Linked DNA regions of Anolis sagrei. Each later gene encodes a partner of the first gene's protein in a complex. Links are inferred from orthologs where the notes say so. Each region holds a gene or a part of one and is shown on either strand. Other genes may lie near its edges. The genes, in order: POLE2 and POLE4.

The links.
Region 2: POLE2 (region 1) and POLE4 share a complex: the UniProt entries of both Homo sapiens proteins name them as parts of the DNA polymerase epsilon complex. The link is inferred for Anolis sagrei from reciprocal best matches to the Homo sapiens genes POLE2 and POLE4.

The regions. Positions count from the first base shown.
Region 1 is NC_090021.1:340,612,842-340,629,505, reverse strand, and holds the start of POLE2 (DNA polymerase epsilon subunit 2), read left to right. Parts: upstream 1-5,121; 5' UTR 5,122-5,156; coding exon 5,157-5,224; intron 5,225-6,924; coding exon 6,925-7,025; intron 7,026-7,204; coding exon 7,205-7,280; intron 7,281-11,819; coding exon 11,820-11,897; intron 11,898-13,381; coding exon 13,382-13,475; intron 13,476-16,664. UniProt on the Homo sapiens protein: Accessory component of the DNA polymerase epsilon complex. Participates in DNA repair and in chromosomal DNA replication.
Region 2 is NC_090034.1:61,629,657-61,646,112, forward strand, and holds POLE4 (DNA polymerase epsilon subunit 4), read left to right. Parts: upstream 1-7,597; 5' UTR 7,598-7,620; coding exon 7,621-7,809; exon of another isoform or gene 7,810-7,833; intron 7,834-9,814; coding exon 9,815-9,899; intron 9,900-9,991; coding exon 9,992-10,033; intron 10,034-15,810; coding exon 15,811-15,824; 3' UTR 15,825-16,096; downstream 16,097-16,456. Other genes in the region: excitatory amino acid transporter 5-like, read right to left, coding at 2,110-2,262. UniProt on the Homo sapiens protein: Accessory component of the DNA polymerase epsilon complex. Participates in DNA repair and in chromosomal DNA replication.

The DNA.
Region 1 (16,664 bases):
TGTTGAACCTCACCAGACTGAAAGCCAAAACCAAGGTTACAACAACATCTGTTATAGAACTCCAGTATGCGGATGATAACGTCGTCTGTGCTCATTCAGAAGAAGACCTACAAGCCACTCTCAATACAGACGCATACAAGAAGCTATTTGAAGGACTTATCTCCCTTGAACCCCTCAGAGCTTATTTTCCATCTTCATCACTATGATACTTCATCTTATTGATGGGAAGCTTCCCACCAGAGTGGAAATCATCTATTGGAGAGATGGCAAGCTGTTGAACCTCACCAGACTGAAAGCCAAAACCAAGGTTACAACAACATCTGTTATAGAACTCCAGTATGCTGATGACAACGTCGTCTGTACGCATTCAGAACATCTACAAGCCACGCTAAACACCGGAGTGGAAATCAAATGTCAGATAGATGGCAAGCTATTTAACTTTAGCAGACTGAAAGCCAAAACCAAGGTCACAACAACATCTGTAATAGAACTCCAGTATGCTGATGACAACGTCGTCTGTGCTCATTCAGAAGATCTACAAGCCACGCTAAACACCGGAGTGGAAATCAAATGTCGGACAGATGGCAAGCTATTTAACTTTAGCAGACTGAAAAACAAAACCAAGGTCACAACAACATCTGTTATAGAACTACAATATGCTGATGACAACGTCGTCTGTGCGCGTTCAGAAGATCTACAAGCCACTCTAAACACCGGAGTGGAAATCATCTGTTGGACAGATGGCAAGCTATTTAACTTTAGCAGACTGAAAGCCAAAGCCAAGGTCACAACAACATCTGTTATAAAACTCCAGTATGCTGATGACAATGTCGTCTGTGCTCATTCAGAAGATCTACAAGCCACGCTAAACACCGGAGTGGAAATCATCTGTGGCACAGATGGCAAGCTATTTAACTTTAGCAGACTGAAAAACAAAACCAAGGTCACAACAACATCTGTTATAGAACTCCAATATGCTGATGACAACGTTGTCTCTGCGCATTCAGAAGAAGATCTGCAAGCCACTCTAAACACCCAAGTGGAAATCATCTGTCGGACAGATGGCAAGCTATTTAACTTTAGCAGACTGAAAGCCAAAACCAAGGTCACAACAACATCTGTTATAGAACTCCAGTATGCTGATGACAACGTCGTCTGTGCGCATTCAGAAGAAGATCTACAAGCCACTCTAAACTCCCGAGTGGAAATCATCTGTCGGACAGATGGCAAGCTATTTAACTTTAGCAGACTGAAAGCCAAAACCAAGGTCACAACAACATCTGTTATAGAACTCCAATATACCGATGTTCAGACTTTCATATAAACACCCACAAAAGTGGCATCTGTAGACAGTCCACCTCTCACAGGCGTATAGCCTTACCCTTACCTTAGGCGATCCCTTGTTGGACAAATAGGATAGTCTTCCAGGATCAGTATTCTTGTGCATCCGTAGGTGACTGTGGAGCCCAATTCTTGACCTGCATCTTCTCCAACAGTGAGGGCATTGGTTTCCAGGTGGAAGCCTTTCCCAGTGAGGGTTGGCTTGACGTGCCTTCTTCTTGGTACATTTTTCTCTTTTGTCCTCCATTCGTGCCTCTTCAAATTCTGCAGCACTGCTGGTCACAGCTGACCTCCAACTGGAGCACTCAAGGGCCAGGGCTTCCCAGTTCTCAGTGTCTATGCCAGAGTTTTTAAGGTTGGCTTTGAGGCCATCTTTCAATCTCTTTTCCTGTCCACCAACATTCCGTTTTCCGTTCTTAAGTTCGGAGTAGAGCAACTGCTTTGGGAGACGGTGATCGGGCATCCAGACAACGTGGCTGGTCCAGCGGAGTTGATTGCGGAGGACCATCGCTTCAATGCTGGTGATCTTTGCTTCTTCCAGCACACTGACGTTTGTCCGCCTGTCTTCCCAAGAGATTTGCACGATTTTCCGGAGGCAGCGCTGATGGAATCATTCCAGGAGTTGTACGTGACATCTGTAGACAGTCCGCGTCTCGCAAGCGTATAGCAGGGTTGGGAGGGGAATAGCTTTATAAACAAGCCCCTTGGTCTCCCTATGGATGTCCCGGTCCTCAAACACTCTCTGCTTCATTCAGAAAAATACTGCACTCGCAGAGCTCAGACGATGTTGTACTTCGGTGTCGATGTTGACTTTGGTGGAGAGGTGGCTGCCAAGGTGCCGGAAATGGTCCACATTTTCTAATGTTACACCATTAAGCTGTATTTCTGGCATTGGAGAGGGATTGGCTGGTGACTGCTGGAACGGCACTTTGGTTTTCTCGATGTTTATTGAGAGGCCGAGCTTCTCGTATGCTTCTGCAAAGGTGTTTAGAGTGGCTTGTAGATCTTCTTCTGAATGCGCCCAGACGACGTTGTCATCAGCATACTGGAGGGGACTCAGGGCGGAGCACCAAGAATCTCTATGAAAATATAATATTAATAAGCATCTGCATGCAAATATGCTAATAATAATCATAAACATATGTGTGGAAATATAGTATTACTAGTAATAATAATAATAAATACCAATACAGCTTTATTTTATCACCCCACAAGGCTCCAGACTGTGAGAAATAGATATATTTATATGGCAGTTAATGGAAATTCAGACCAAGGGAGCATCTACACTGTGGAATTAACCCAGTTTGACTCCACTTGAACTGCCATGGCTCAAGACTGTGGAGTCCTGCTGTAGTTTAACAAGGCCTTTCGCCTGTTTCACCAAACCATGATTCCATAGCATTTTGCCATGATAGTTAAAGCGGTGCCAAACTGCATTAATTCTACAGTGTAGATGCATTGCACACAATGACAACTAGATTGACAGCTTATTCCTTCCTCCCTTCCTTCCTTCTCCTTCCTTCCTTCCTTCCTTCTCCTTCCTTCCTTCTCCTTCCTTCCTTCCTTCTTTCCTTCCTTGCTTCCTTCCTTCCCCTTCCTTTCTTCTAATTCCTTCTCCTTCCTTCCTTCTCCTTCCTTCCTTCTCCTTCCTTCCTTCTCCTTCCTTCCTACTCCTTCCTTCCTTCTCCTTCCTTCCTTCTCCTTCCTTCCTTCCTTCCTTCCTTCCTTCCTTTTTTCCTTCCTTCCTTCCTTCTCCTTCCTTCCTTCCTTCCCCTTCCTTCCTTCTAATTCCTTCCTTCTTCATTCCTTCCTTCCCCTTCCTTCCTTCCTTCTTTCCTTCCTTCCTTTTTCCTTCCTTCCTTCCTTCCTTCCTTCCTTCGCCTTCCTTCCTTCCCCTTCCTTCCTTCCTTCCTTCCTTTTCTTCCTTGCTTCCTTCCTTCCCCCTTCCTTCCTTCTAATTCCTTCCTTCCTTCCTTTTCCTTCCTTCCTTCCTTCCCCTTCCTTCCTTCTCCTTCCTTCCTTCCTTCCTTCCCCTTCCTTCCTTCCTTCTCCTTCCTTCCTTCTCCTTCCTGCCTTCTTTCCTTCCTTCCTTCCTTCCTTCTTTTTTCCTTCCTTCCTTCCTTCCTTCCTTCGCCTTCCTTCCTTCCCCTTCCTTCCTTCCTTCTTTTCTTCCTTGCTTCCTTCCTTCCCCTTCCTTCCGTCTAATTCCTTCCTTCCTTCTAATTCCTTCCTTCCTTCCTTCTCCTTCCTTCCTTCCTTCCTTTTTTCCTTCCTTCCTTTTTTCCTTCCTTCTCCTTCCTTCCTTCGCCTTCCTTCCTTCCTTCCCCTTCCTTCCTTCTTTCCTTCCTTGCTTCCCCTTCCTTCCTTCTAATTCCTTCCTTCTCCTTCCTTCCTTCCTTCTCCTTCCTTCCTTCCTTCCTTCCTTCCTTTTTTCCTTCCTTCCTTCCTTCTCCTTCCTTCCTTCCTTCCCCTTCCTTCCCCTTCCTTCCTTCTTTCCTTCCTTCCTTCCTTCCTTCCCCTTCCTTCCTTCTAATTCCTTCCTTCTCCTTCCTTCCTTCTCCTTCCTTCCTTCCTTCTTTCCTTCCTTCCTTCTAATTCCTTCCTTCCTTCTAATTCATTCCTTCCTTCCTTCTCCTTCCTTCCTTCTAATTCCTTCCTTCCCTCCCTCCCTCCCTCCTTCCTTCCTTCCTTCCTTCCTTCCTTCTCCTTCCTTCCTTCCTTCCTTCCTTCCTTCCTTCCTTTTCCTTCCTTCCTTCCTTCCTTCCCCTTCCTTCCTTCTCCTTCCTTCCTTCCCCTTCCTTCTCCTTCCTTCCTTCCTTCTCCTTCCTTCCTTCTCCTTCCTGCCTTCTTTCCTTCCTTCCTTCTTTTTTCCTTCCTTCCTTCCTTCCTTCCTTCCTTCGCCTTCCTTCCTTCCCCTTCCTTCCTTCCTTCTTTTCTTCCTTGCTTCCTTCCTTCCCCTTCCTTCCTTCTAATTCCTTCCTTCCTTCTAATTCCTTCCTTCCTTCCTTCTCCTTCCTTCCTTCCTTCCTTTTTTCCTTCCTTCCTTCCTTCCTTCCTTCTCCTTCCTTCCTTCCTTCGCCTTCCTTCCTTCCTTCCCCTTCCTTCCTTCTTTCCTTCCTTGCTTCCCCTTCCTTCCTTCTAATTCCTTCCTTCTCCTTCCTTCCTTCCTTCTCCTTCCTTCCTTCCTTCCTTCCTTTTTTCCTTCCTTCCTTCCTTCTCCTTCCTTCCTTCCCCTTCCTTCCCCTTCCTTCCTTCTTTCCTTCCTTCCTTCCTTCCTTCCCCTTCCTTCCTTCTAATTCCTTCCTTCTCCTTCCTTCCTTCTCCTTCCTTCCTTCCTTCCTTCTTTCCTTCCTTCCTTCTAATTCATTCCTTCCTTCCTTCTCCTTCCTTCCTTCTAATTCCTTCCTTCCCTCCCTCCCTCCCTCCCTCCTTCCTTCCTTCCTTCCTTCTCCTTCCTTCCTTCCTTCCTTCTAATTCCTTCCTTCCTTCCTTCCTTCTCCTTCCTTCCTTCCTTCCTTCCTTCTTTCCTTCCTTCCTTCCTTCCTTCCTTCCTTCCTTCCTTCCTTCCTTCCTTCCTTCCTTCCTTCCTTCCTTCCTTCCTTCCTCAGTGAAGAATAAAACCAAAGTTTCCCAAAACTCTGTTTGCAGGTACTTGGGACTCTATTTCCCAGGATGCCTCCTCATTGGTCAAAGCAGCTGAGGCTTCTGGGAGTTTCAAGACTAGGAACCCGCTTTTCTACCACAAGGGGGCGGGGCCTGTCAGGAAAGGGGCGGGGAAAGGGGCGGGGCCTCACCGTTGGCGCCAAAGTTCCAAAATGGCGGCGGAGAAGCTGAGGGGGAAAGTGGGCGCCGCCTTCAAGATGCACGGCCTGCTGCTCCGCGCGTGAGTAAACCCTTTCCTCGGGGTCGGGTGGGCGCCTCTCTCGTGGCCGTGGCAAGCGAGGAAGGCCTTCGTGGAGGAGAGAAGATCTACGGCTCAGTCAAGGCCAATCTCTAAGCCCCAAGTGCTTTTGGACTTCATTTCCCAGAAGCCTCTGCCACTTAGGCTAAGGAGATGGCATTCTGGGAAATGGGGTCCAAAGGCATGGAAAGGCAGATCTTGGGCAATACTGAAGGAAAGCAGCCTAGAATCATGCAATCTAGTTCCAAATGGTTCATGAGATTATCTAGTTTAATAATCTGGATTATGTGGCGGTGTAGACTCACTTAATCCGGTTCCAAACAGATTGTGTCATTACATAGTTTAATAATCTGGATTATATGGCAGTGTAGATTCATGTACCCCAGTTCCAAGCAGATCATGTCATTACCTAGTTTACTTATCTGGATTATTTGGTGGTGTAGACTCATGTACTCCAGTTCCAAGCAGATCATGTCATTATCTGTTTTAATAATCTGGATTATTTGGCACTGTAGACTCATGTAATCCGGTTCCAAGCAGATCATGTCATTACCTAGTTTAATAATCTGGATTATATGGCACTGTAGACTCACACAATCTGGTTCCAAGCAGATCATGTCATTACCTAGTTTAGTAATCTGGATTATATGGCACTGTAGACTCATGTAAATCATGTCATCTAATTTTGTAATCTGGATTATATGGCGGTGTAGACACACTTATCCGGTTGCAAGCAGCTCATGTCATTACCTAGTTTAATAATCTGGATTATATGGCACTGTAGACTCACGTAATCCTGTTCCAAGCAGATTATGTCATTATCTAGTTTAATCATCTGGATTGTACAGTCATGCAATCCAGTTCCAAGAAGATCACGTCATTTACCTAGTTTAATAATCTGGATTATATGGCAGTGTAGACTCATGAACTCCAGTTCCAAGCAGATCATGTCAATATCTATTTTAATCATCTGGATTATATGGCAGTGTAGACTCACTTAATCCTGTTCCAAGCAGATCAGGTTATTATCTAGTTTAGTAATCTGGATTATATGGCACTGTAGACTCATGTAAATCATGTCATCTAATTTTATAATCTGAGTTATATGGCGGTGTCGACACACTTACTCCGGTTGCAAGCAGCTCATGTCATTACCTAGTTTACTAATCTGGATTATATGGCAGTGTATACTTATGTAGTCTGGTTCCAAGCAAATCGTGGCATTATCTAGTTTCATAATCTGGATTATATGGCAGTGTAGACTCACTTAATCCTGTTCCAAGCAGATTATGTCATTATCTGTTTTAAAAATCTGGATTATATGGCAGTGTAGACTCAAATAATCCGGTTCCAAGCAGATCATGTCATTATCTAGTTTACTAATCTGGATTATTTGGCAGTGTAGACTCACCTAATCCGGTTCCAAGCAGATCATGTCATTATCTAATTTAATAATCTGGATTATATAGCAGTGTACACTCACTTAATCCTGTTCCAAGCAGATCATGTCATTACCTAGTTTAATAATCTGTTGAAATTGTCCACATGCTTGTGGATTTCGCCTTCGACAATAATCATCATCATCATCTGCCATAAATCTGCACTGTAGATGCACACAATGACAACTAGACTGACAGGTTATTCACACTTTGGGTATTTCTTCTTCTTCTCTCTTCCGTTAGTGAAGCTGCTAAATATCTCACAGAAGCTCTTCAAACAGCTAATGAAGTTGAGCTGGAAGACATGATAGAAAATATAATCGACGCTGTTGAAAAACAGCCTTGTAAGTAATGCCGTCTGTTTTCTACAATGGTTTAAGAAGGAAAGGGTGGGATACTTAACGTTTCTGTGGCTTCTGATGGGATTTGTGATTGTAAACTAGGTTTTGTCATAAGCTTTTTAAGCGTGCTCCTCAATAACTACATAGGAAACCATTTTGTATTTTTACATTCTTCTTTTCAGTGACATGTAACATGATTGAAAAGTCCATGGTGGAAGCAGCCGTCCTGGAGTGCAGCCAGTCTGTAGACGAAACCATGTATGTTTACATTCGTTTACTTCAAACAAGCAGGAGCTTTTGATGCAGTCTAGTTTGGTTGATTGTCTTGTTGACTTCCATTACTTTGATTGGCTGATATTTCAGATTTTAGTGTCATTAATATTCATGTACACCAGGCATGGGGAAACCACCGCCTCCTCCTGAGAAAAATGTACACTATCACAAAGGATGACCACCTCACCCGTCTCATAGGAAACCTGCTACAAAACAGGAGCTTTTTTGTTGCGTTCCAGGGCCAGAGAAGCAGATGGCAGAAACAGAAGAACGGCCTTCCTCAGCGGAGTGTGCTCACTCCATCCATGTTCAACATCTACACAAATGACCAGCCACTGCCAGAAGGGACAGAGAGCTTCATCTATGCTGATGATCGTGCCATTACCGCTCAAGCAGGGAGCTTTGAGATGGTAGAACAGAAGCTTTCCGAAGCTCTAGGTGCTCTTACTGCCTATTACAGGGAAAACCAGCTGATCCCTAATCCATCTAAAACACAGACATGTGCCTTTCACCTTAAGAACAGACAAGCATCCCGAGCTCTGAAGATCACCTGGGAAGGAACCCCACTGGAGCATTGCAGCACATCCAAATACCTGGGAGTCACTCTGGACCATGCTCTTACCTACAAGAAGCACTGCCTGAACATCAAGCAAAAAGTGGGTGCTAGAAACAATATCATACGAAAGCTGACTGGCACAACCTGGGGATCACAACCAGACACAGTGAAGACATCTGCCCTTGCGCTGTGCTACTCTTCTGCTGAGTATGCATGCCCAGTGTGGAACACATCAGACCACGCTAAAACAGTGGATGTGGCTCTTAATGAGACATGCCACATTATCACGGGGTGTCTGCGCCCTACACCACTGGAGAAATTACACTGCTTAGCCGGTATTGCACCACCTGACATCCGCCGGGAAGTAGCAGCCAATAGTGAAAGGATCAAAGCAGAAACATCTCCAGCTCATCCCTTGTTTGAGTATCAGCCAGCACGCCAACGACTTAAATCTAGACATAGTTTTCTAAGATCTACAGAGACACTCGCTGGAACACCTCAGCAAGCAAGAGTCCAAAAGTGGCAGGCCCAAACCCAGCACCTCAACCAATGGCTGATACCCAATGAGAGACTCCCACGAGATGCAGAGCCAACCTCAAGAAATGGGGCCACAAAGTGGAATCCTCGGTATGCGAGTGTGGAGAAGAGCAAACCACTGACCACCTGCTGCAATGCAACCTGAGCCCTGCCACATGCACCATGGAGGACCTTCTTGCAGCAACACCAGAGGCACTCCACGTGGCCAGATACTGGTCAAAGGACATTTAACCAACTACCAAACTCACAAGATGTGTATTTTTCTGTCTGTTTGCTTTGTTCTGTTAGAAATGTAATATATAATGGACTGGTTGCTCTGACACGACAAATAAATGGGGAAATTTCTGCCCTTTCTCCAGGTGCTTTGAACTTCAACCCCCACAATAACTTGTGAGAGCCAGTAGGCTGTTAGGAGTTGTGAGAGTCCAAAAACACCTGCAGGGAGGGCTGAAGTTTGCCCATACGTGGTGTAGTGTAATGTCAGTATTAATATGGCATCCATTCATTGATTTTTTTGCATGAGCAGCTAAATAATGTAGAGAGGGTTGACAGAATTTCCTGCAAATCCAAAGTTTGGGAGTTTATTGTTCAAATAATGTTGTCTTTGGATTAGTGAAGGCTTTCATGGCCAAAATCATTGGATTGTTGTGAGTTTTCCAGGCTGGCCATGTTCCAGAAGCATTCTTTCCTGACGTTTCACCTGCATCTATTTATTTATTTGTTTGTTTACGACTTTTATATGCCACCCTTCTCACCCAGAAGTGGACTCAGAGTGGCTTGCAAGAGATATATACTGTTTCAAGATTGGGAAAGGCGTCCGGCAAGGCTGCATACTCTCACCCAACCTTTTTAACGTGTATGCAGAACACATCATGTGAGGATGTGCGGGGCTTGAGGAATGCAAAGCTGGGGTGAAAATTGCTGGAAGAAACATTAACAACTTCAGGTATGCAGATGACACCACTCTGATGGCCAAAAGCGAGGAGGAGCTGAGGAGCCTTCTAATCAAGGTGAAAGAAGAAAGCGCAAAAGCCGGGTTGCAGCTAAACATCAGAAAAACCAAGATTATGTCAACAAGAATGATTGACAACTGGGAAATAGAGGGAGAAAACGTGGAGGCCGTGACAGACTTTGTATTTCTAGGCGCAATGATGAGTGCAGACGCAGACTGTGGCCAGGAAATCAGAAGACGCTTCCTTCTTGGGAGGAGAGCAATGTCCAGTCTCGATAAAATAGTAAAGAGCAGAGACATCAGATTGGCAACCAAGATCCATTGCCTAGTCAAAGCCATGGTCTTCCCTGTAGTCACCTACGGATGTGAGAGCGGGACCTGAGGGAAGGCTGAGCGAAGGAAGAGAGATGCTTTTGAGCTGTCGTGTTGGAAGAAAGTTCTGAGAGTGCCTTGGACTGCGAGAAGATCCAACCAGTCCATCCTCCAGGAAATAAAGCCCGGCTGCTCATTGGAGGGAAGGATATGAGAGACAAAGTGGAAGTCCTTTGGCCACATCATGAGGAGACAGCAAAGCCTAGAGAAGACAATTATGGTGGGGAAAGTGGAAGGCAAAAGGAAGAGGGGCCGACCAAGGGCAAGATGGATGGATGGCATCCTTGAAGTGACTGGACTGACCTTGAAGGAGCTGGGGGTGGTGACGGCCGACAGGGAGCTCTGGCGTGGGCTGGTCCATGAGGTCACGAAGAGTTGGAGACGACTGAACGAATGAACTACAACATATTATATTATTAGCATAGGACAATATCAGTATTAAATATTACTATATTGTACTATACCATTACATTGTAATATTATTAGTAATATTACATGTAATATAAATATATAATTATAATATCATATTACTATTATTGGAGCCCCCGGTGACGCAGTGGGTTAAACCCCTGTGCCGGCATGACTGAAGACTGACAGGTCGCAGGTTCGAATCTGGGGAGAGTGTGGATGAGCTCCCTCTATCAGCTCCAGCTCCTCATGCGGGGACATGAGAGAAGCCTCCCACAAGGATGATAAAAACATCAAAATCATCCGGGCGTCCCCTGGGCAACGTCCTTGCAGACGGCCAATTCTCTCACACCAGATTCTCAAGTCTCTCCTGACACGACAAAAAAAAATACTATTATTAGTATTATATTGCATATATATCTATGGCAGACATCCTCAGAACTTGTGAGTCTGTATGGCTCTACCGGAGAAGTCAGCCATAGCAGAGCCCTTGATGAACCAACCTGGACACAGCATATTATCTGAGTACACAGAAATGCTGGACCACTCTCACAACCACCATGTCAGGCTACACAGGGAAGTCACAGAAATCCACAAGAAGCATGTGGACAATTTCAACAGATAGGAAGAAACCATGAAAATGAACACAATCTGGCAACTAGTGTTTTTTTTTTAAAAAAAAAAAAACCTCTAAAATCATAACAGTAAATAAAGAACAACACTCAAAAACAGGTGAATTCCAGACAAGAAACAATCAGGACCAGTTAATCACTGTCAGTGACATCAGCAGCACAACAAGACAGGAACAGATCAATCACAGTCACCTAGGCTACAAAAATGACTTTATTCTTACAGCTATATACATTAGAAGCTACTTAACAACCAACACATCATAAACTTGCTTCTTTACAGTCCAATCATAACATCACGAACTCTTCAACTGTTATCAGTACTAGTCCACACCTCCTGCATTCCAGCTGCCTCCATTTGTTCTACACACTTAATTTATGACATCTCTAGGAATGCCGTTCCCTCCATGGTTCAGTTAACTTTTTCCACACAGGAATACATTTCACTTGGCACATAGCTACTGCATTTTAAACATACATGCATACTTTGAAATCTACATTATAAATTGCAAAAAGCCTCAGCAATCACCTCCCAACAAAGGATTCCCCCGGGGAGTAAGAAGCCAGACCTTGAAACTGCTAGGCCATTAAATGCTAATCAAGGTGACCAATTGAAAAATTCACACCTACCTCAACAGACAAGAGTTGTTTCTCCCACCCTGGACATTATTCCAGAGATATAAACCCAATATTCCTAGTTCCAACAGACCTCACAACCTCTGAGGATGCCTGCCATGGATGCAGGCAAAACTTCAGGAGAGAATGCTGCTCGAAAATAGCCATATAGCCCAGAAAACTCACAATAACCCAATGTAGTCTTTTATAACTCAGCAATCATCTCTGATTTAAAGCGAGTTGGTGATCCTGGCTTAGATAGAAACAGCCATTGAATGGTAATTCCAGGTTCAGACATGTTTCTGCCTGCTGTGTTTATTTCAAATGATTCAATTGCATCTGTAGAAACAAGATAATTGGCACAGCAGAATACTGTACCAAATTATTTTTCATGATTTTTGTCCCCCAAATAAAGCTTTCCAATATCTTTCCTTGTGCATATGATTTCTCCACAGGGAACACATCTTCAACATCATCGGAGCTTTTGATATCCCGCGATATGTTTACAATTCGGAGAGAAAGAAATTTCTACCGTAAGTTTGTGCTTTGTAAGTTTGGATCCCAAGCTGTGATGATGTGTATTTTTATTCCTATGGTTATGTGTTGTTTAAACAGTAGTTAATAAATGGTAAGTATGTAGGATTATATTTTGTTAGAGATGGTGTCTGGTTTGGCTTGAGCTGAGTTGCCATAGAAACGGGGGTGGAGCCAACTGTCACCTAACTGCATATCTGTTTGAAATAGGCAGTCTGTGACCGTTAGAGTTACAGAGAAGACTGAAATCTCTGGTGGGAGATTCAGGGAACTAGTCTGTGACCAGAGAGTTACAGGAGAGGTAGTTGATCCTGTGGTGTGTGGAAAACCAGCAGGAATCCTACAGTTAGAGAACTATAGGGAAGACTGATTCTTTAATATTAAGAATCAGGGTTTGGCTGTGAGCCAATATAGTTAGATAAGTCAGGTGGCTTATTTGTAGTAAAAGAACGCTTGTTGAAGAAAGATATATCTACTCAAAGAAACCTTTTGAAGTCTGTTTAGTACCTAAAGTTATTCAGGAAACCTTATCAATGTAACTAACTAAGTTTGCGCCTCTAATGAAGTAAGAATTGAATCTGTTATACTCCTGTTAAATAAATTTGTTACTGTTTTCCTCAAGCCTTGCCTGATACAGTTTCTCCTAAGTCAAACAGCCCCACATAAGAAGTAAGACCAAATCAGGGACATTAAATATCAGCTTCACTATCAAATAAATAAATACTTCTGTAAATAATAGTCCCTTTATAAACCAGCTCCTAAGCTGATATTGATCATTGCCCGGCTTTCCTCACAAATTTGGTGGCAGTAGTTTTACGCTCCTTTACACAAGCCAATTTACATTTCGTAGAATCATAGAATCAAAGAGTTGGAAGAGACCTCATGGGCCATCCAGTCTAACCCCATTCTGCCAAAAAGCAGGAATATTGCATTCAAATCACCCCTGACAGATGGCCATCCAGCCTCTGCTTAAAAGCTTCCAAAGAAGGAGCCTCCACCACACTCCGGGGCAGAGAGTTCACATTTTAGGAAAAGAGATTCCACTTAAACATGAGTAAGAATATACTAGCAGAGCTGTTCAAGAGTGGAGTCTGGTGGAGTCTCCTTCACTGGAGGCTTTTAAACAGAAGCCGGATGGCCATCTGTCAGGAGGGTTTGGATTGTATTTCCTACATGAGCATAAATCTGCTCTAAAGAAAGCTTAAGAGTGTACTGGTTTGAGTGTTGGAGTTCGTGGTTCAAATGGCCACCTGCTGTTAAAACCCACGGGGGAGTTTAGGCAGGTCACACTCTCTCAGCTTCAGAGGAAGGCAGTGACCAACCTCCTCGGAATAACTTTGGAGTTAATCGTGTTGGGAGTTTCTGGGATTGGGTTGCTGTAAATTGGGTTCAGGTTGAAGACCCCAAACAAGGAGTAGAGGTTTTCATGTTTCTGTTTTTGTGGGACCCCATTTCACCCAAGTCTGTACAATGTTTCTTTCAGCCTCTCGATGACCAGCCACCCTCCGCCCAGTCTGTTAGGCTCTGCCAGGGATAAAGCAGAATTATTCCGGGAGCGTTACGTCATCTTGCAGCAGGTGAGGTAAAAAAGATTAAGGGGATTTAGTCCATTTTGCACTGTGAAAGGTTACTTTGTTGGACAACAGCTCCCATCATCCCCGGACAGTATTGCCAGCAGCCTGTTATTTAATTGAAAAACTTAATTCTTCCAACATCTGATTTATAGCTTTAGAAAGTCCCACGAGTTCAGAAATATGTGGACAGAAATATGTGGACAGAGTTTGGAATCGGGACGTGAAGTTATATGACTCTCCCTCCCAAGGGAAACTGTCGTGACCCACAGAACACAGAATGTCTTAAACAGCAGTTGAGGTGCAAAATAGTAGTATTTTAATGCAAAACAAACTAAATGAGGCACTTTAAGAGTCAGTGCAAACAGTTCAAAGGATGTTTTCAAACAGGAACACAAAATGCTAGATAAGCAGGCTTGAATTGCAGCCAAGAAATAACAAGAGATACAATGAACTAGGAGCAGAATACAAAACAAAACAGTCTTTAAGGGTTGCAAGGCATGGAGCAAAATCCGGTAGGCAAACGCGTAGTCAGTCAGTTCCAAGGGTCAAGAAGCCAGATGTACACTCACGAGCAAAGGTTCCAAGGTCCGGAGCATGGCAGGGAAAACAGGATACTGGGAATCCAAAACAAGATTAGGCAGAGAACAACACGAAACAACACTTTGTCGTCTGCAAAGGAATAGGTCCCAGAGTGCTCATTTTATTCACTATCAGAAGAATGAGATTCATTGCTTGCATCTGATTCTGCTCCCACAGCTGAAGCATCTACACCACGCCAAGCCTGCCACCTTTGCTCTAGTGCCTGATCCTGCCAATCAGTACTCTCATTCCCATTATCCCTAAAACCTTCAAAATCATCACTTGATGTTGCTTGATTGCAAATGTCTCTAATGTTCTGAACCAGAGTCCAGTCTACAGCCTCCTCCAACTCATCCTCACTATCACTGGAGTTATCTGCTGTGTCTCTAAGCCTCTTAGACATAGTGTCACTCTCACTGCCAGAATCACTAGCCACTCTCTTCACTCCCCTGTAATCTGCTTCCATAGCCTCCTCTGGCCTGAATCCTGCAAAGTCTTCTTCATCACTGGGAGCCAGAAAGATGTCACGAATGCGTTTCAGCTGGCGCTGATTCTCCTCTGTTTCTGCATCACTCCTTCTTCTCCTACTACTAGTAGTAGGTATGGTGTCAGAATGCTGACTCACAACAGAAACACTCATAGATAATAGATTTGTATTTGTGGGGAAATCGCACTACGGATAGGAAATATTTTCTCTCAAAATGAAAAGTTGCCTTAATTTGAAAACAAAAGAGAGAAATAAATATATCATCAAATAGAGGGCTGCAGTGATCATCATTTTGATCTTGCTGCTGTTTGATGTTACCAGACCAAGGCTGGATCTACATTGCCATATAATGCAGTTTGGGATTGAATTATGTAAATCTACGCTGACCATACAATCTGCATTATATAGAATCATAGAATCAAAGAGTTGGAAGAGACCTCATGGGCCATCCAGTCCAACCCCATTCTGCCAAGAAGCAGGAATATTGCATTCAAATCACCCCCAACAGATGGCCATCCAGCCTCTGTTTAAAAGCTTCCAAAGAAGGAGCCTCCACCACACTCTGGGGCAGAGAGTTCCACTGCTGAACGGCTCTCACAGTCAGGAAGTTCTTCCTCATGTTCAAGTGGAATCTCCTTTCTTGTAGTTTGAAGCCATTGCTCCATTGCGTCCTAGTCTCCAAGGAAGCAGAAAACAAGCTTGCTCCCTCCTCCTCCCTGTGGCTTCCTCTCACATATTTACACATGGCTATCACGTCTCCTCTCAGCCTTCTCTTCTTCAGGCTAAACATGCCCAGCTCCTTAAGCTGTTCCTCATAGGGCTTGTTCTCCAGACCCTTGATCATTTTAGTCACCCTCCTCTGGACACATTCCAGCTTGTCAATATCTCTCTTGAATTGTGGTGCCCAGAATTGGACACAATATTCCAGGTGTGGTCTAACCAAAGCAGAATAGAGCATGGGGAGCATGACTTCCCTAGATCTAGACACTAGGCTCCTATTGAGGCAGGCCAAAATCCCACTGGCTTTTTTTGCCGCCACAAAAAAGTGTAGATCCAGTCTTAGTCTGCAAACCAAAACATATCCCTTAGGAAGTATGTTTTCTGGAAACTTGGTGGGATTTATTTCCAAGTGAGTGTACATAGGACCACGCCATTAATCAGGATAGCTGTGCCGGGCTGCAATTTAGCAGTAAAAAAACTAGAAGTAATCTTACATTGTGGTATAACCTTCCATGGTGTAGAAGGGAATTCTGAAGGCTGACCACAGAATTGCATTGGAGGACCTAGAGACTCCTAGAGAGGTTTTGTTAATCTTATGGTTATGTTTTTTACTTTGTATGTTTTGTGATGTTACCTGGGAACCGCTCTGAGACCCCTCGTGGAGATGGAGCAGTATATAAATAAAGTTTTATTATTATTATCATTATTATTATTATTGAAATTATTTTTATTGAAATAGAGTAAGAATATAATATCCATGTAAAGAGGGGGAACATAGTGTTTATAAGAAAAGTAGGAAAAATAGAAAAATAGTTAGAATGGGAAAGGTCAAAAAGGGGAAAGTAAAAAAGGGTGAAAAAAAAGAGAACAATTAAAAATAATATAAAATAAAAAGTCCGGCAACTTCCTTCTAATTCTGCACGTATTTCCAATTTATTGTCGATACACTCCTCCCAGTCTAACAATATCCACTTCTATGCTTCTTAGATAGTAAGTAAGTCCAGTTACATATCCTTGTATCTTCTTTCAATATAGTCCTCAATTAATGACCAATTTGTTTGTTTAACCAGATTGCCTGTATTTCTTTTTAATTAAAAAGTTAGTATATCCATGTCTTTAATTTTGTTTATCTTTTTTATCCAGTGGTCCTTCTCGGGTATTTCCTTTTGCTTATTATTATTATTATTATTCACCCGAAATCTCTAGTTCCTCCAGGAACTCCTATCAATACAGAATTTGTCAAACAGAATATGGCCTTGTAGTCCTATTGGAAAAGTTAAGACTGACAAAAGGACGTGTTTGAAAATACATGTGCAAAAATGATATTGAATCTAAGGCAACAAAACAACCAAGAAAAATTGTGGATGGATGATCAGAAAAACACCTCCCAACAATTATATATCACT
Region 2 (16,456 bases), on another chromosome or scaffold:
GAGAGAATGGCCCCCTGAGGAACCCCACAAGATAGAGGGGACCTCTCGGAGACCAGACCTCCCCTCTCCACTCGCTGTCCATGGTTGTGAAGAAAGGAGGACAGCCAGTTTAAAGCTCTCCCCCTGACTCCAACAGCAGCAAGGCGTTGGGTCAAAAGATTGTGGTCGACTGTGTCAAATGCTGCTGTGAGATCCAATAACACAAGCAGCGCTGACCCGCCCTAATCAAGCTGGCATTGGAGGTGATCTGTGATGGAGACCAGCACAGTCTCTGTCCCGTGCTCCGGACTGGAAGGGATCTAGTCCGGCTGTGTCGTCTAGGAATTGCTGCAACTGCTCCGCTGCTGCCCTCTCAATCACCTTGCCCAGGAATGAGAGATTTGAAACTGGGCGGTAACTGGAGGGAACCGAACAATCTAAGTCTGGTTTCTTCAGCAGGGGAGAGACCACCGCCTCTTTTAAACCCTCTGGAAAAACTCTTTGCTCAAGGGAGCTGTTTATAATCTTCAACAGAGGGTCACGTAATCCCTCCAAGCAGGATTTCACCAACCAAGAGGGACACGGATCGAGGGAGCAAGTGGTCGGTCTATCTGCAGCTATGAGCCTATCAACAGCCCCTGCGTCCAGTGGGATGAACCAGTCGAGGATGGGCCCAGCAAGTGGCCACGGAGTCTCAAGTTCTCTCACTGTATCAATTGTGGCGGGGAGGTCCCGGTGAAGTAGCGAGATCTTGTCTGCAAAATAGCTCTGAAAAACCTCGGCTGAAGGGGCCTGGTCACCACTTTTTGGGACAGTAGGAACCGTCGTTAGAGATCGAATTATTTTGAACAATTCTGCCGGGCGTGAGCTAGCAGATGCTATCAAAGAAGCATAATATGCTCACTTTGACTCGGTGACAGCATGCTCATAGGATTCCCTAAATGCCTCATAAGCTGATCTCGCTGCTCCGTCACGGAGTTCTCGCCACACGCCCTCTAGCCGTCTCTTTTCCTGCTTCATCAGTCGAAGTTCCTCGGTGAACCAAAGAGACCGATTTCGGTGGGGTCGGAGAGGGCATCTAGGGGCAATCTCGTCGGGTGCATTGGATAGCCTAATGTTCCATGTGTCCACCTGCACATCGATCAAGTCGCTGGCAGGCTCCAGATCCCTCAGAGCATTCCGGAACCTACTGGGTTCCATAAGTCTCCTTGGGCGAGCCCAAATTGGCTCGGCGCCCTTGCAGGGTGGGTAGGCATGCTCTCAGAGCACAGTGATCCGACCATGGAACCTCTATTGTGGAGGCTTGATCTGATTAGATCTGCCCCTTCTCTCCTGTCGTTTAGAAAACTACTAAAAACCTGGCTTTGGAATAAGGCATTTGATGATTGAGTCAATAACCTTTGTGCACACGGAAGGATGGTGATGAATTGTAACTCTATTTGACGACTTGGCTTATGTAATGTGATGATGTTTTTATTGTATTTTTCGGTTTTTAATGATGATGTATTGTACTGTTTATATTACTGTATTTGAGTACATGCTGTAAACCGGCCTGAGTCCCTCTCCGGAGGTCGAGAAGACCGGTATATAAAACTTCTAAATAAATAAATAAATCTAGTCCAACAGGAAGGCACCATTCAAGCCTTCCCAACAGATGGCCATTCAGTGAGATATAGGATTGATATATATACAGACATAGAATAGATATATCATAGGATCTTAAGAGCTGAAAGAGACCCTAAGAGCCATCCTGACAGATGGCCATTCAGCCAGATATGATGTGTGTGTGTGTGTGTGTGTGTGTGTAAATAAGAGCCCCTCACTCTTTTGCAGGAAGACACACCATCTGACCTTTTCCAACAGATGGCCATTCATCCATAGCTATGACTGAGATATATGTTTGTGTGTGTATGTATGTGTATATGTATGTATGTATGTATGTGTGTGTGTGTACGTGTATATAAAATCAACGTATCATAAAAAGAATTGGAAGGACCACATGGCCCTGTTGTTTTTGCATGGCCAGAGGACACCACCCGATCCCTCCTGAGAGATAGACATTCAGCCACAGCTTCGAGCTCTATACACACACACACACACACATATCTGTCTCAACGATCCCATACTCACAAGGTCAGAGAGCTCCAGGCGGCGGAGCAGGAATCCCACGCCGCAGCCGGTGACCACAGAGAGCAAGGAGAGGACCAGGAGGCCGTTCTTGGTCCAGAAGACCCGCAGGCCCCTCCGGATGCCGCCCAGGGCCCGCTTGAGGCGTTCCCACATGGCGCTCTCCGCAAAGGGGGACGGCTCTGCGGGGCATCATTGGGGAGCCTGCCGTCCCACCAGAGGAAGCATGCTCCAGCGACACCCTCCTCTCCTTCCCTTTCCTTCCTTCTTTTCTGGGCTCCCGAGCCTTCCTTGCTGTCCCCTTGGGCTTAAGGGGAGAGTGACGTCTTGAGCCGGCTTTGGGCGAAGGAGGCACTGTCATAAGTCCTGTCCCTGCGGGAAAAACAAAGGTCTTAGTCTTAAGGGATTGGCAGGGCAGGCAGGCGGTCAAATATAGATCTCAATGGGGGAAGGACGGAGAGAGGGATGCACTCTGCACATGGCCAAGAAGAGTAAGAATAAGAAGAATGGAGAGGGATGAAATCTGCATAATAATAACAACACTAACAATAATATCAGAGAGGGAGGGGTGAAATCTGCATAATAATAATAATAACAACAACAACAACAACAACAACAACAACATAGTAAAGGTAGTCTCCTGACATTAAGTCCAGTCATGTCTGACTCTGGGGTGTGGTGCTCATCTCCATTTCTAAGCCGAAGAGCCAGCGTTGTCCGTAGACACCTCCAAGGTCATGTGAATTGGAAGAGACCTGGTGGGCCACACAGTCCAATCCCATTTTGCCAACAAGCAGGAATATCATCTTCAAAGCCTCCGACAGATAGCCATCCAGCCTCTGCTTCAAAGCCTCCAAAGAAGGAGCCTCCACCACAATCAAGGGCAGAGAGAGAGTTCCACTACTGAACACCTCTCACAGTTAGGAAGTTCTTCCTCATGTTCAGGTGGTATCTCCTTCCTTTCCTGTAGTTTGAAGCCATGGTTCCATTGCGTCATAGTCTCCAGGGCAGCAGAAAACAAGCTTGCTCCCTCCTCCCTATGACTTCTCCCCTCATATTTATACACAGCCCTCATAATGTGTCCTCTCTGCCTTCTCTTCTGCAGGCTAAACATGCCCGGCTCTTTCAGCCGCTCCTCATAGGGCTTCAGACCCTGGATCCTTTGAATCGCCCTCTTCCTCTGGACACATTCCAGCTTAGAGTCAACATCTCCCTTCAATTTGGTGCCCAGAATCAGACACAGTGTGATTCCAGGCAAAGTGGTCTGATGAAGACAGAAGAGAGGGGTAGCATGACTTCCCTGGATCACTAGACTCCTCTTGATGCAGGCAAAAATCCCATTGGCTTTTCAAGCTGTTGCATGACATTCCTGGCTCATGTTCCCCTTCCTCCTCACGAGGACTTCAAGGTCTTTTCCCCACGTCCTACTGTCGAGCTAGCCATCATCCCCCATTCTGTCTCTGTGCATTTCATTTTTTTCTGCCTGAATGGGATATCTTGCATTTGTCACTGTGAGAAGGATGCACTCTGAACATGTTCAGAGGCAACCCAAGGGTGGATAATAATAATAATAATAACAACAACAACAACAACAACAATGGAGAGGTGCAATTGCGTAATAGTAATCCTCATCATATCAGAGAGGGATGCACTCTGCACATGGCAAATAATCATCATCTTTGTCGAAGGCTTTCATGGCTGGAATCACTAGGTTCTTGTGGGTTTTTTCGGGCTATAGAGCCATGTTCTAGAGGCATTTCTCCTGACGTTTCGCCTGCATCTATGGCAAGCATCCTCAGAGGTAGAGACCTCTACCTCTGAGGATGCTTGCCATAGATGCAGGCGAAACGTCAGGAGAAATGCCTCTAGAACATGGCTCTATAGCCCGAAAAAACCCACAAGAACCTAATCATCATCTTTATTTATATCCTGTCATATCAGAGAGGGATGCACTCTGCACATGCTCAGAGGCAATCCCAATGAGGGGAAATAATAATAACAATAATAATATTGCAAAAAGAGGGATGCACTCTGCACTATATTAATAATAATAATAATAATAATAATAATAATATAGAGAAGGATACACTGCATAATAATAAGGGAAGGATGCACTGTGAAGAACTTAACGGTGAAAGAGAGCTTTTCAGCAGTGGAACTCTCTCCCTCTCTGTCCTGGAGTATGATGGAGGCTCCTTATTTGGAGACTTTGAAGCAGAGGCTGGGTGGCCATCTGTGGGGGGGGGGGGGGGGGCTTTGAATGTGATTTTCCTGCTTCTTAGCAGAATGGGTTGGACTGAATGCACTCTGCATAATAATAATAATAATATAATAATGAAGGGAGGATGCATTGAATAATAATAATGACAGATGCACTCTGCATAATAATAATGATGATAATAATGAGGGAAGGATGCACTCTGAATAACAACAACAATAATAATAGAGAGGGATGCACTCTGCATAATAATAATAACAATAATAAAGAGAGGGTTGCACTGAATAATAATAATAAAGAGGGAAGGATGCACTCTGCATAATAGTAATAGGGAGAGATGCACTTTATATAATAATAATAATAATAATAATAGAGGGAGGGATGCACTGAATAATATTAGGGAGCGTTATATTGTATTATTTCATTATTATTATTATAATTATATTACTATATGTATTATTATTATACCATTATATTAATACTTTGTGTTGTCATATTACAATATGAGCATCACCCCCTCAGAGTTGGATATGACTAGTCTTAATGTCAGGGGAAACCTTTACCTTTACCTATACTATGTTACTATATTATCATTGTTATATTCTTCTCTATACCTCCCTGTCTCCCCCTATTCTATGTCACTATACACCTGTATTATTAATTTTGTTATATTAATAATTCTATGTTATTATATCACTATTATTATCTTCTTCTTCCCAAGAGCTCTATGCCTCTCCATCTTCTATGTTATATCATTATATTATTATATTGCTATATTTATTAATTAATATTATATGGTGTTATATTATTATATTACGATAAAGCAGATTACAGGAGCTGTCTTCATAGACCTGTCAGCAGCCTATGATACTGTGAACCACCGCCTCCTCCTGAGAAAAATGTATAATATCACAAAGGACTAACACCTCACCCGCCTCATAGGAAACCTGCTACAAAACAGGAGCTTTTTTGTTGAGTACCAGGGCCAGAGAAGCAAATGGCGGAAACAGAAGAACGGCCTGCCTCAGGGGAGCGTGCTTGCTCCATCCATGTTCAACATCTACATAAATGACCAGTCACTGCCAGAAGGGACAGAGAGCTTCACCTATGCTGATGATCGTGCCATTACTGCTCAAGCAGGGAGCTTTGAGATGGTTGAACAGAAGCTCTCCGAAGCTCTAGGTGCCCTTACTGCCTATTACAGGAAAAATCAGCTGATCCCTAACCTATCAAAAATACTGACATGTGCTTTTCATCTCAAGAACATACAAGCATCCCGAGCTCTGAGGATCACCTGGGAAGGAATCCCACTGGAGCATTGCAGCACACCCAAATACCTGGGAGTCGCTCTGGCCTGTGCTTTTACCTACAAGAAGCACTGCCTGAACATCAAGCAAAAAGTGGGCGCTAGAAACAATATCATACGAAAGCTGGCTGGCACAACTGGGGAATCACAACCAGATACAGTGAAGACATCTGCCCTTGCGCTGTGCTACTCTGCTGCTGAATACGCATGCCCAGTGTGGAACACATCTCACCACGCTAAAATAGTGGATGTGGCTCTTAATGAGACATGCTGCATTATCACGAGGTGTCTGCGCCCTACACCACTGGAGATATTACACTGTTTAGCCGGTATTGCACCACCTGACATCCGCCAGGAAGTAGCAGCCAATAATGAAAGGACCAAGGCAGAGACATCTCCAGCTCATCCCTTGTTTGGGTATCAGCCAGCACGACTTAAATCAAGAAATAGTTTTCTAAGATCTACAGAGACACTCGCTGGAACACCTCAGCAAGCGAGAGTCCAAAAGTGGCAGGCTCAAACCCAGAACCTGAATCAATGGCTGATACCAAATGAGAGACTCCCCCCTGGGCACACAGAAGACTGGGCGACTTCAGAGGCACTCCAAGTGGTCAGATACTGGTCAAAGGACATTTAATCAACTACCAAGCTTGCAAACTCTGTTTTGTCTGTTTGTTAAAATTTGTTAAAAATGTAATACAATTATCTGGTTGATACTGACACGATAAATAAATGATAAAGTAATTATATTTACTATATATTTATTATATTAATATTATACGGTGTTATACATATATTATATTATTTATTATTATATTAATATTCTATGTTAGGGTATATAATTATTATTGACAAGTTAGAGAGTTGGGCCAAAACTAACAAAATGAAGTTCAACAGTGACAAATGCAAGAGACTCCACTTTGGCAGGAAAAACGAAATGCAAAGATACAGAACGGGGGACAATGCCTGGCTCAAGAGCAGTACGTGTGAAAAAGATCTTGGAGTCTTGGAGTTTAACTTGTGGACAACAAGTTAAACATGAGCCAACAATGTGATGTGGCGGCAAAAAAAGCCAATGGGATTTTGGCCTGCATCAATAGGAGCATAATGTCTAGATCTAGGGAAGTAATGCTACCCCTCTATTCCGCTTTGGTTAGGCCACACCTGGAATATTGTGTCCAATTCTGGGCACCACAATTCAAGAGAGATATTGACAAGCTGGAATGTGTCCAGAGGAGGGCGACTAAAATGATCAAGGGTCTGGAGAACAAGCCCTATGAAGAGCGGCTTAAGGAGCTGGGCATGTTTAGCCTGAAGAAGAGAAGGCTGAGAGGAGATATAATAGCCATGTATAAATATGTGAGAGGAAGCCACAGGGAGGAGGGAGCGAACTTGTTTTCTGCTTCCCTGGAGACTAGGACGCGGAACAATGGCTTCAAACTACAAGAGAGGAGATTCCATCTGAACATTAGGAAGAACTTCCTGACTGTGAGAGCCGTTCAGCAGTGGAACTCTCTGCCCCGGAGTGTGGTGGAGGCTCCTTCTTTGGAAGCTTTTAAACAGAGGCTGGATGGCCATCTGTCCTGGGTGATTTGAATGCAATATTCCTGCTTCTTGGCAGAATGGGGTTGGACTGGATGGCCCATGAGGTCTCTTCCAACTCTTTGATTCTTTGATAAACGATAAAGTAATTATATTTACTATATATTTATTATATTAATATTATATGGTGTTATGCATATATATATATATATATATATATATATATATTATATTATTATATTTATTATTATATTAATATTCTATGTTAGGGTATATAATTATTATTGTGATCTTTTTCTTCCCTAGAGCTCTCTGACTCCCCCTAGAGAGCTTTGGCGGGAAGGGCCAGTGAAAGCCGGGCAGAGGGGGCGTGGCTTCCCGCGGCATGAAGGCGGGGCCTGAGGCCTTGATTTGCGTACCGCGTGGCGCAGGCGCAGTAGCGGCCAACATGGCAGCAGCGGTTCCTGAGGTAAATGTCGCGGCGGCGCTTCCCAGCGAAGAACCGGAGGCGCCACCCACTACCGCAACGGCCCGCCCGGCTCGCTTGCCTTTGTCCCGGGTGAAAGCGCTGGTCAAAGCCGACCCGGATGTCAGCCTCGCCAGCCAAGAAGCCGTCTTCATCTTGGCCCGCGCTACGGTGAGACTGAGACTGCGCATGCGAGGGGTGGAAGGGGGCAATCGCCTGGCCAATCAGAGCGTTCGTTTGCTCCCGGTAGGCGGAGACTGCGTGTGGGCGTGGCTACCCCCGCGCGCTTTTTAATGCTGGCCAATCTCGCCGCTGTGGGCGTGGCCAATACCAGGGTGCAGGGGGCGTGGCTGAAGAGAGGGTGGCGTTGTTTCACCAACAGGGGGCGCGCGTGCTTTCCTTGAAAAGTTTGGGAAAGTTTTCACTGTATTGTCGAAGGCTTTCATGTCTGGAATCACTAGGTTCTTGTGGGTTTTTTCGGGCTATATGGCCATGTTCTAGAGGCATTTTCTCCTGACGTTTCGCCTGCATCTATGGCAAGCATCCTCAGAGGTAGTGAGGTCTGTTGGAATTAGGAAAAAGGGTTTATATATCTGTGGAATGGCTGGGGTGGGGCAAAGAGCTCTTCCCTGCTGGAGCTAGGTGTGAATGTTTCAACTGACCACCTTCATTAGCATTTGAAGGCCTGGCTGAGCATGGGAAAATCTTCTGTTGAGAGGTGTTAAGATGTGCCTTGTTGTTTCCTCTCTGCTGTTTTGCTGTTGTAATTTTTGAGTTTTTTAATACTGGTAGCCAGATTTTGTTCATTTTCATGGTTTCTTCCTTTCTGTTGAAATTGTCCACATGCTTGTGGATTTCAATGGCATCTCTGTGTAGTCTGACATGGTGGTTGTGAGAGTGGTCCAGCACTTCTGTGTTCTCAAATAATATACTGTGTCCAGGCTGGTTCATCAGTTTTCACTTTTTGAAGAATTGCATGTTTATTGTATTGTCGAAGGCTTTCATGGCCGGAATCACTGGGTTATTTATTTATCGTGTCAGGAGCAGACCAAACAGTTGTGTTTCATTTTTTAACAAACAAACAGAACACAAAGTTTTCAAGCTTGGTATTCTATTAAATAGGGGGTGTCATAAGGCTCACCAAAGGACACCAGAAAACACAGTATTTTTGTTGGTCATGGGTGTCTCTGTGTGGGAAGTTTGGCCCAATTCTACCATTTGTGGGGTTCTTTGATTGTAGGGGAACTATAAATCCCAGCATCTACAACTCTCAAATCTCTATTTCCCCCAAACTCCATCTGTGTTCATATTCAGGCATATGGAGTATTCATGACAAGTTTGTGAGAAGCCATTGAAATCCACAAGCATGTGGACAATTTCAACAGAAAGGAGGAGACCATGAAAATGAACAAAATCTGGCTACCAGTATTAAAAAACTCTAAAATTACAACAGCAAAACAGCAGAGAGGAAACAACCAGGCACATCTTAACAACTCTCAACAGAACATTTTCCCAGGCTCAGCCAGGCCTTCAAATGCTCATCAAGGTGGTCAGTTGAAACATTCACACCTAGCTCCAACAGACAAGAGTCCTTTGTCCTACCCTGGTCATTCCACAGATATATAAACCCATTTTCCTAATTCCAACAGACCTCACTACCTCTGAGGATGCTTGCCATAGATGCAGGCGAAACGTCAGGAGAAATGCCTCTAGAACATGGCTCTATAGCCCGAAAAAACCCACAAGAACCTAGTGATTCCAGCCATGAAAGCCTTCGACAATACATTAAATCCTTCATTGTTTGAGTCCGCAGTGCTCTCTGGATGTAGGTGAACTACAACTCCCAAATTCAAGGTCAGTGTCCACCAAACCCTCAGTTTCATCATTGGTGGAGTTCAGAATGCGCTTTGATTGTAGGTGAACTATAAATCCCAACAACTACAACTTCCAAATGACAAAATCAATTTTTTCAGTGATGATAACTCCTTGCATTAGTAGGTGTCTTGTGGCCAAATTTGGCAGCATAATTGCGGATTTTGAGTTAGGATGTCACTCAAAACGAATAGAGCATTTTTTATACATAGATAATAATACAATGTATCATGATGCTATAATAAATAATATAATACAAATATTATATAATAACAATCTCTATCTCTCTCTATATATATTGCAGGAGCTGTTTGTGGAGACCATTGCCAAGGACGCCTTCATCTTTGCCCAGCAAGGCAAGAGGAAGACCCTCCAGAGGAAGGACTTGGGTGAGAAATAATACAGAAATAATAATAATACAGAAATAATAATAATAATACCTCCTTATTAATTCCATTTTTGTTTTATGCCTCACCTGCAGACAACGCCATTGAAGCCGTGGACGAATTTGCCTTCCTGGAAGGTAAGCGGCCCATTGGAGTCAATACTGGGTTGCTGTGAGTTTCCTGGGCTGCCTGGCCATGTTCCAGCAGCATTCTCTCCTGTCATTTCCTCAGAGGTTGTGAGGTCTGTTGGAAACTGGGCAAGTTGGGTTTATATATTACTTACTTACTTACTTTACTTACTTAGGCGATCCCTCGTTGGACGAGTAAGATGGTCTTCCATGATGGGTTTCTTTGTGGATTCGTAGGAGGCAGTGGAGCCCTATTCTTGACCCGCATCTTCTCCCACGGTGAAGGCATTGGTTTCCAGGCATTGGTTTCCTCCTGGCACATTTTTCTCTTTCACCCTCCACTCATGCCTCCTCGAATTCTGCAGCACTGCTGGTCACAGCTCACCTCCAGCTGGAGCGCTGAAGGGCCAGGGCTTCCCAGTTCTCAGTGTCTATGCCAGAGATTTTAAGATTGGCTTTGAGGCCATCTTTAAATCTCTTTTCCTGTCCACCAACGTTCCGTTTTCCATTCTTAAGTTCGGAGTAGAGCAACTGCTTTGGGAGACGATGGTCAGGCATCCAGACAACGTGGCCGGCCCAGCGGAGTTGATGGCAGAGGACCATCGCTTCAATGCTGGTGGTCTTTGCTTCTTCCAGCACGCTGACGTTTGTCCGCTTGTCTTCCCAAGAGATTTGCAGGATTTTCCAGAGGCAGCACTGATGGAATTGTTCCAGGAGTTGCATGTGACGTCTGTAGACAGTCCACGTTTCGCAGACATAGAGCAGGGTTGGGAGGACAATAGCTTTATAGACAAGCACCTTGGTATCCCTACGGATGTCCTGGACCTCAAACACTCTCTGCTTCATTCGAGAAAATGCTGCACTTGCAGAGCTCAGGCGGTGTTGTATTTCGGTGTCGATGTTGACTTTGGTGGAGAGGGGGCTGCCAAGGTAGCGGAAATGGTTAACATTTTCTGGGTTTATATATATATATACCTGTGGAATGATGTCCAGGATGGGAGAAAGAACCCTTGTCCGTGTGAGGCAAGTGTGAATGTTGCCATTGGCCAACGTAAGTAGCATTAAATGACCTGTAAAATCAATCAGTGAGGGGAATCTGCATAGAGGGAGCCTGGCCTTTGTTGCCTGGAGGCACCCCCTGTGGAATAATGTCCAGGGTGGGAGAACGGACTCTTGTCTGCTTGAGGCAAGAGTGAATGTTGCAATTGGCCACCTTGATTAACATTGAATGACCTTACAGCTTCAAAGTCTGGCTGCTTCCTGCCTGGGGAATCCTTGGTTGGGAGGTGATAGCTAGACCTGATTGTTTCCTGTCTGGAATTCCCCTGTTTTCTTGCCTCCCACTCTGGACATTTTTCCACAGATATATCAACCGCATTTTCCTAGTTACCAACAGACCTCACAACCTCTGAGGGTGCCTGCCATGGATGTGGGCAAAACAGCAGGAGAGAATGTTTCCTGAACAGGGCCACACAGCCTGGAAAACTCACAACAAACCAGTGATTCTGGCCACGAAAGGCTTCGACAACACATAATTAATACTATTGTCTAGATTATGATGATGATCATAAATGTATTACATAGTTTGGACAGTTTATTTCTCTGCCACATTATTCACCTTCTGGTCTTGTCTATTTTAGATTATAATAATATATTATATTATATACTAGCTGTCCCCTGCCACGCGTTGCTGTGGCCCAGTCTAGTGATCTGGAAAATAAATTAATAAGAAAGTGTTGGTTTCTAATATATGTAATTCCTTTCTGCTTGTGAGTAAACAGTATTTCGTGTTGTTTCTTTGTCAGTGTTGATGTGGAGAGTGTCTGGTTTGCCTACTCTGGAACATGCCACATACCATAGTCCTCCTTTAAGGGTCTCTTTCAAATCTATGATACCATATCTGTGTGTGAGAGAGAGAATCATATCTATCTATCTATATTTATGACTGGATGGCTCTTTGTCAGGAGGGCTCTGATTACATTTTCTTGCCCTGGTGAAGAGAGTTGGACTGGATGGCCTTAAGTATTCTCTGTTGGTCATGGGAGTTCTGTGTGGGAAGTTTGCCCCATTTCTGTCGTTTGTGGGTTTCAGAATGCTCTGTTGGTCATGGAAGTCCTGTATGCCATGTTTGGTTCAATTCCATCATTGGTGGAGTTCAGAATGCTCTTTGATTGTAGGTGAACTATAAATCCCAGCAACTACAACTCCTAAAATGTTGAGGTCTATTTCCCTTAAACTCCATCTGTGTTCATATTTGGGCATATGGAATATTTGTGCCAAGTTTGGTCCAGATCCATCGTTGTTTGAGTCCACAGTGCTCTCTGGGTGTGGGTGAACTATAATTCCCAAACTCAAGGTCAATGCCCACCGAACCCTTCCAGTGTGTTCTGTTGGTCATGGAAGTCCCATATGCCATGTTTGGTTGAATTCCATCATTGGTGTTCAGAATGCTCTTTGATTGTAGGTGAACTATAAGTCCCAGCAACTACAACTCCCAAATGTCAAGGTCTATTTCCCTTAAACTCCATCTGTGTTCATATTTGGGCATATGGAATATTCGTGCCAAGTTTGGTCCATCTCCATCATTGTTTGAGTCCACAGTGCTCTCTGGATGTGGGTGAACTATAATCCCCAAACTCAAGGTCAGTGTCCACCAAACCCTTCCAGTTTTTTCTGTTGGTCATGGGAGCCCTGTATGCTAAGTTTGGCCCAATTCCATCATTGGTGGAGTTCAGAATGTTGTTTGATTGTAGGTGAACTATAAATCCCAGCAACTACAACTCCCAAATGACAAAATCAATTTTGGATATAAATGTGTCCAAATTTGGTGTCAATTCCCCCAGTGGTTTTTGAGTCCTGATGGTAGCACGAACTAACATTACATTTTTATTTATATAGATAGAAATGTATCAGATCGTTTGGACATTTTGGAATAGATTAACTATGATAATAAATTAATAAATACAATAATATTTAAGTGCAAGTGACTCCACTTAGGCAGAAAAAAAGGAAATGCAAAGAGACAGAATGGGAGACAATGCCTGGCTCGATGGTACAACGGGCAGCAGCCAGGTTACTAACTGGTGCGACTTACAGGGAGCGCTCAACCCTCCTGTTTAAGGAGCTCCACTGGCTGCCGTTTATTTTCCGGTCCCAATTCAAGGTGCAGGTTCTTACCTACAAAGCCCTGAACGGTTTGGGACCTGCCTACCTGCGTGACCGCATTTCTGTGTACGAATCCACACAATTTCTTCGATCATCTGGAGAGGCCCTGCTCACGCTTTCACCTCCTTCGCAGGCGCGATTGGTGGGGACAAGGGAGAGGGCCTTCTCGGTGGTGGCCCCCGGACTCTGGAACTCACTTCCCAAGGACATCAGGCATGCCCCAACATTGACAGTCTTTAGGAGGAGCCTGAAAACGTGGCTGTTCCGGTGTGCCTTCCCAAAATAAGGAAGATTCCCAGCAATATGTCCTCAGAATGCACTTTACTACTGGGTTAGGATTGACTGCGCTCCCTCATCTCTTTTAAAACTCTATACCAGATATATCCTACCTGGTTCATGCTATTACTATTACATTTGGCCCGGCCACAGGTTTTTTAATCCTTGTGTGTTACTGTTTATTGGTTATTGTTTAGATGTGATTTATATTAATTGTATTGTATTTATTGTTTTTTGTTTATTGCTTTTTGTTTTTATTGATGTGTTGTTGGGCTTGGCCTCATGTAAGCCGCTCTGAGTCCCTTGGGGAGATGGTGGCGGTGTATAAATAAAGATTATTATTATTATTACTATTATTATTATTAGTAATAATAATAATGGAGCCCCCGGTGGCGGGGTGGGTTAAAAGCACTGAGCTGCTGAGCTTGTTGATCGAAAGGTCGCAGGTTCGATTCTGGGAAGCGGCGTGAGCTTCCGCTGTCAGCCCTAGCTTCTGCCAACCTAGCAGTTCGAAAACATGCAAATGTGAGTAGATCAATAGGTACCGCTCCGGCGGGAAGGTAACAGCGCTCCATGCAGTCATGCCGGCCACATGACCTTGGAGGTGTCTACGGACAACGCTGGCTCTTCGGCTTAGAAATGGAGATGAGTACCACACCCCAGAGTCAGACATGACTGGATTTAATGTCAGGGGACAACCTTTACCTTTACCTATTATTATTAGCCATCCCCTGCCACGCGTTGCTGTGGCCCACATGGGGATAATGTAATGTTAGTTTGTGGGATTAACAGAACTCAAAAACCACTGGACGAATTGACACCAAATTTAGACACAAGACACCTAACAACCCAATGTACGTCCTTCACTCAAAAAAATTGATTTTCTCATTTGGGAGTTGTAGTTGCTGGGATTTATAGTTCACCTACAATCAAAAAGCATTCTGAACCCCACCAACGATGGAATTGAACCAAACTTGGCACACAGTTCTCCCATGACCAACAGAAAATACTGGAAGGGTTTGGTGGGCAGGGTCCTTTGGTTTTGGAGTTGTAGTTCAGCTACATCCAGAGATCACCGTGGACTCAAACAATGATGGATCTGGACCAAACTCTACACGAATACTCAGTATGCCCGAATGTGAACATTGGTGGAGTTTGGGAAAAATAGAATCTTGACATTTGGGAGTTGTAGTTAATGGGATTTATAGTTCACCTACAATCACAGAGCATTCTGAACCCCACCAACGGTAGAATTGGGCCAAACCTCCCACACAGAACTCCCATGTGGGCCACAGCAACATGTGGCAGGGGATGGCTAGTATGTATTATATAGTTTGGACAACATCCTCTCTCTCTGCCACATCTTTCATCTTCTTGTATAACGATTTTAGATCATAATATACAATAATAATAATGACTAGCTGTCCCCTGCCACACGTTGCTGTGGCCCAGTCTGTTGATCTAGAAAATAAAGTAATGAGAAAGTGTTGGTTTCTAATGTATGTAATTTCTTTATGCTTGTAGGTAAACAGTATTTCTTGCTGTTTCTTTGTAAGTGTTGATGTGCAGACTGGTTTGCCTACTCTGGAACATGCAACATATAATTGTCCTTCTTCAGGGGTCCCTTTCAAATCTATGATACTATATCTGTGTGTTTGTGAATCATATCTATCTATATGTATGGCTGGGTGGCTCTTTGTCTGGAGGGCTCTGATTACATTTTCTTGCCCTCGTGAAGAGAGTTGGACTGGATGGCCTTAAGTATTTTCTGTTGGTCATGGGGGTTCTGTGTGGGAAGATTGCCCCAATTATGTCGTTGGTGGGGTTCAGAACGCTCTTTGATTGTAGGTGAACTGTGATTCCCAGTGACTACAACTTCCAAATTTCAAGGTCTATTTCCCCCAAACTCCATCTGTGTTCGTATTTGGGCGTATTGAGTGCTTGTGCCAAGTTTGGTCCAGATCCATCATTGTTTGAGTCCACAGTGCTCTCTGGATGTAGGTGAACTACAACTCCCAAACCCTTCCAGTATTTTCTGTTGGTCAAGGGAGTTCTGTGTGCCAAGTTTGGTTCAATTCCATTGTTGATGAAGTTCAGAATGCTCTTTGATTGGAGGTGAACTATAAATCCCAGAAACTACAACTCACAAATGACAAAATCATAATTTTTGAGTGATGGTCACTCCTTGTGTTGTAAGATGTTTTGCTGCCAAATTTGGTGTGATTTCGTTTGTTGGTTCTTCTGTTTTTAAGGAACTCATTATGCACAGAGCATTTTTATATATATAGATAATAATAATACTCCATGACAGGTTCCTCAATCTTCTTCCTTTTGCCTGGTTTCAGGGACATTGGACTGAATGGAGAGAAGGAAGCAGGATGCATTGAAGTGAAACAGACTTTGCAACTCTTCTGTCTATATCCACGGAGCCCCACATCGAGGTCAATGAATGGATTCATTTGTGAAGGCGCCTTTCATTGGCAGCAAGGGAATTCCTTGTGGATGAAGGCTTCAACTCGGGTCCCACCGCCAAGCCAGCTCATTTCATTGCACACAAATATTGTTATCATTTTGTATTTGTTTTCAATGGTCTCAATGAGATTATCGTTTATTAAATTATGCTCTATTAAATTGTCTTAAATTGTATTATAGATCATTATATATGATAGAGGCTCCTAAAAGCAAAGCAGAGGCATCTCTCTGAGAAGTTTGGACTACAGTCTGGAGCGGATGTGAGAGGCAGGCCCTGTCTTTGTGGATTTGATCCTATAGGGAGATAATCCTCTATTCTTTCCCCTCTGTCTCACACCTTTCCTTCCCAAATGCTAATAATAATTAGAAGCAATTAGCTTAAAAGGCCTGCCGTCAAAGTCTGGATCTGTGGCTGGAAAAGAGCCAACCTCATTGGCAGGGTAGGCTTCTACAAATAATAATAATAATAATAATTTGGTTCATCAGAGCACCTGATGAACCAACCTGGACACAGCATAT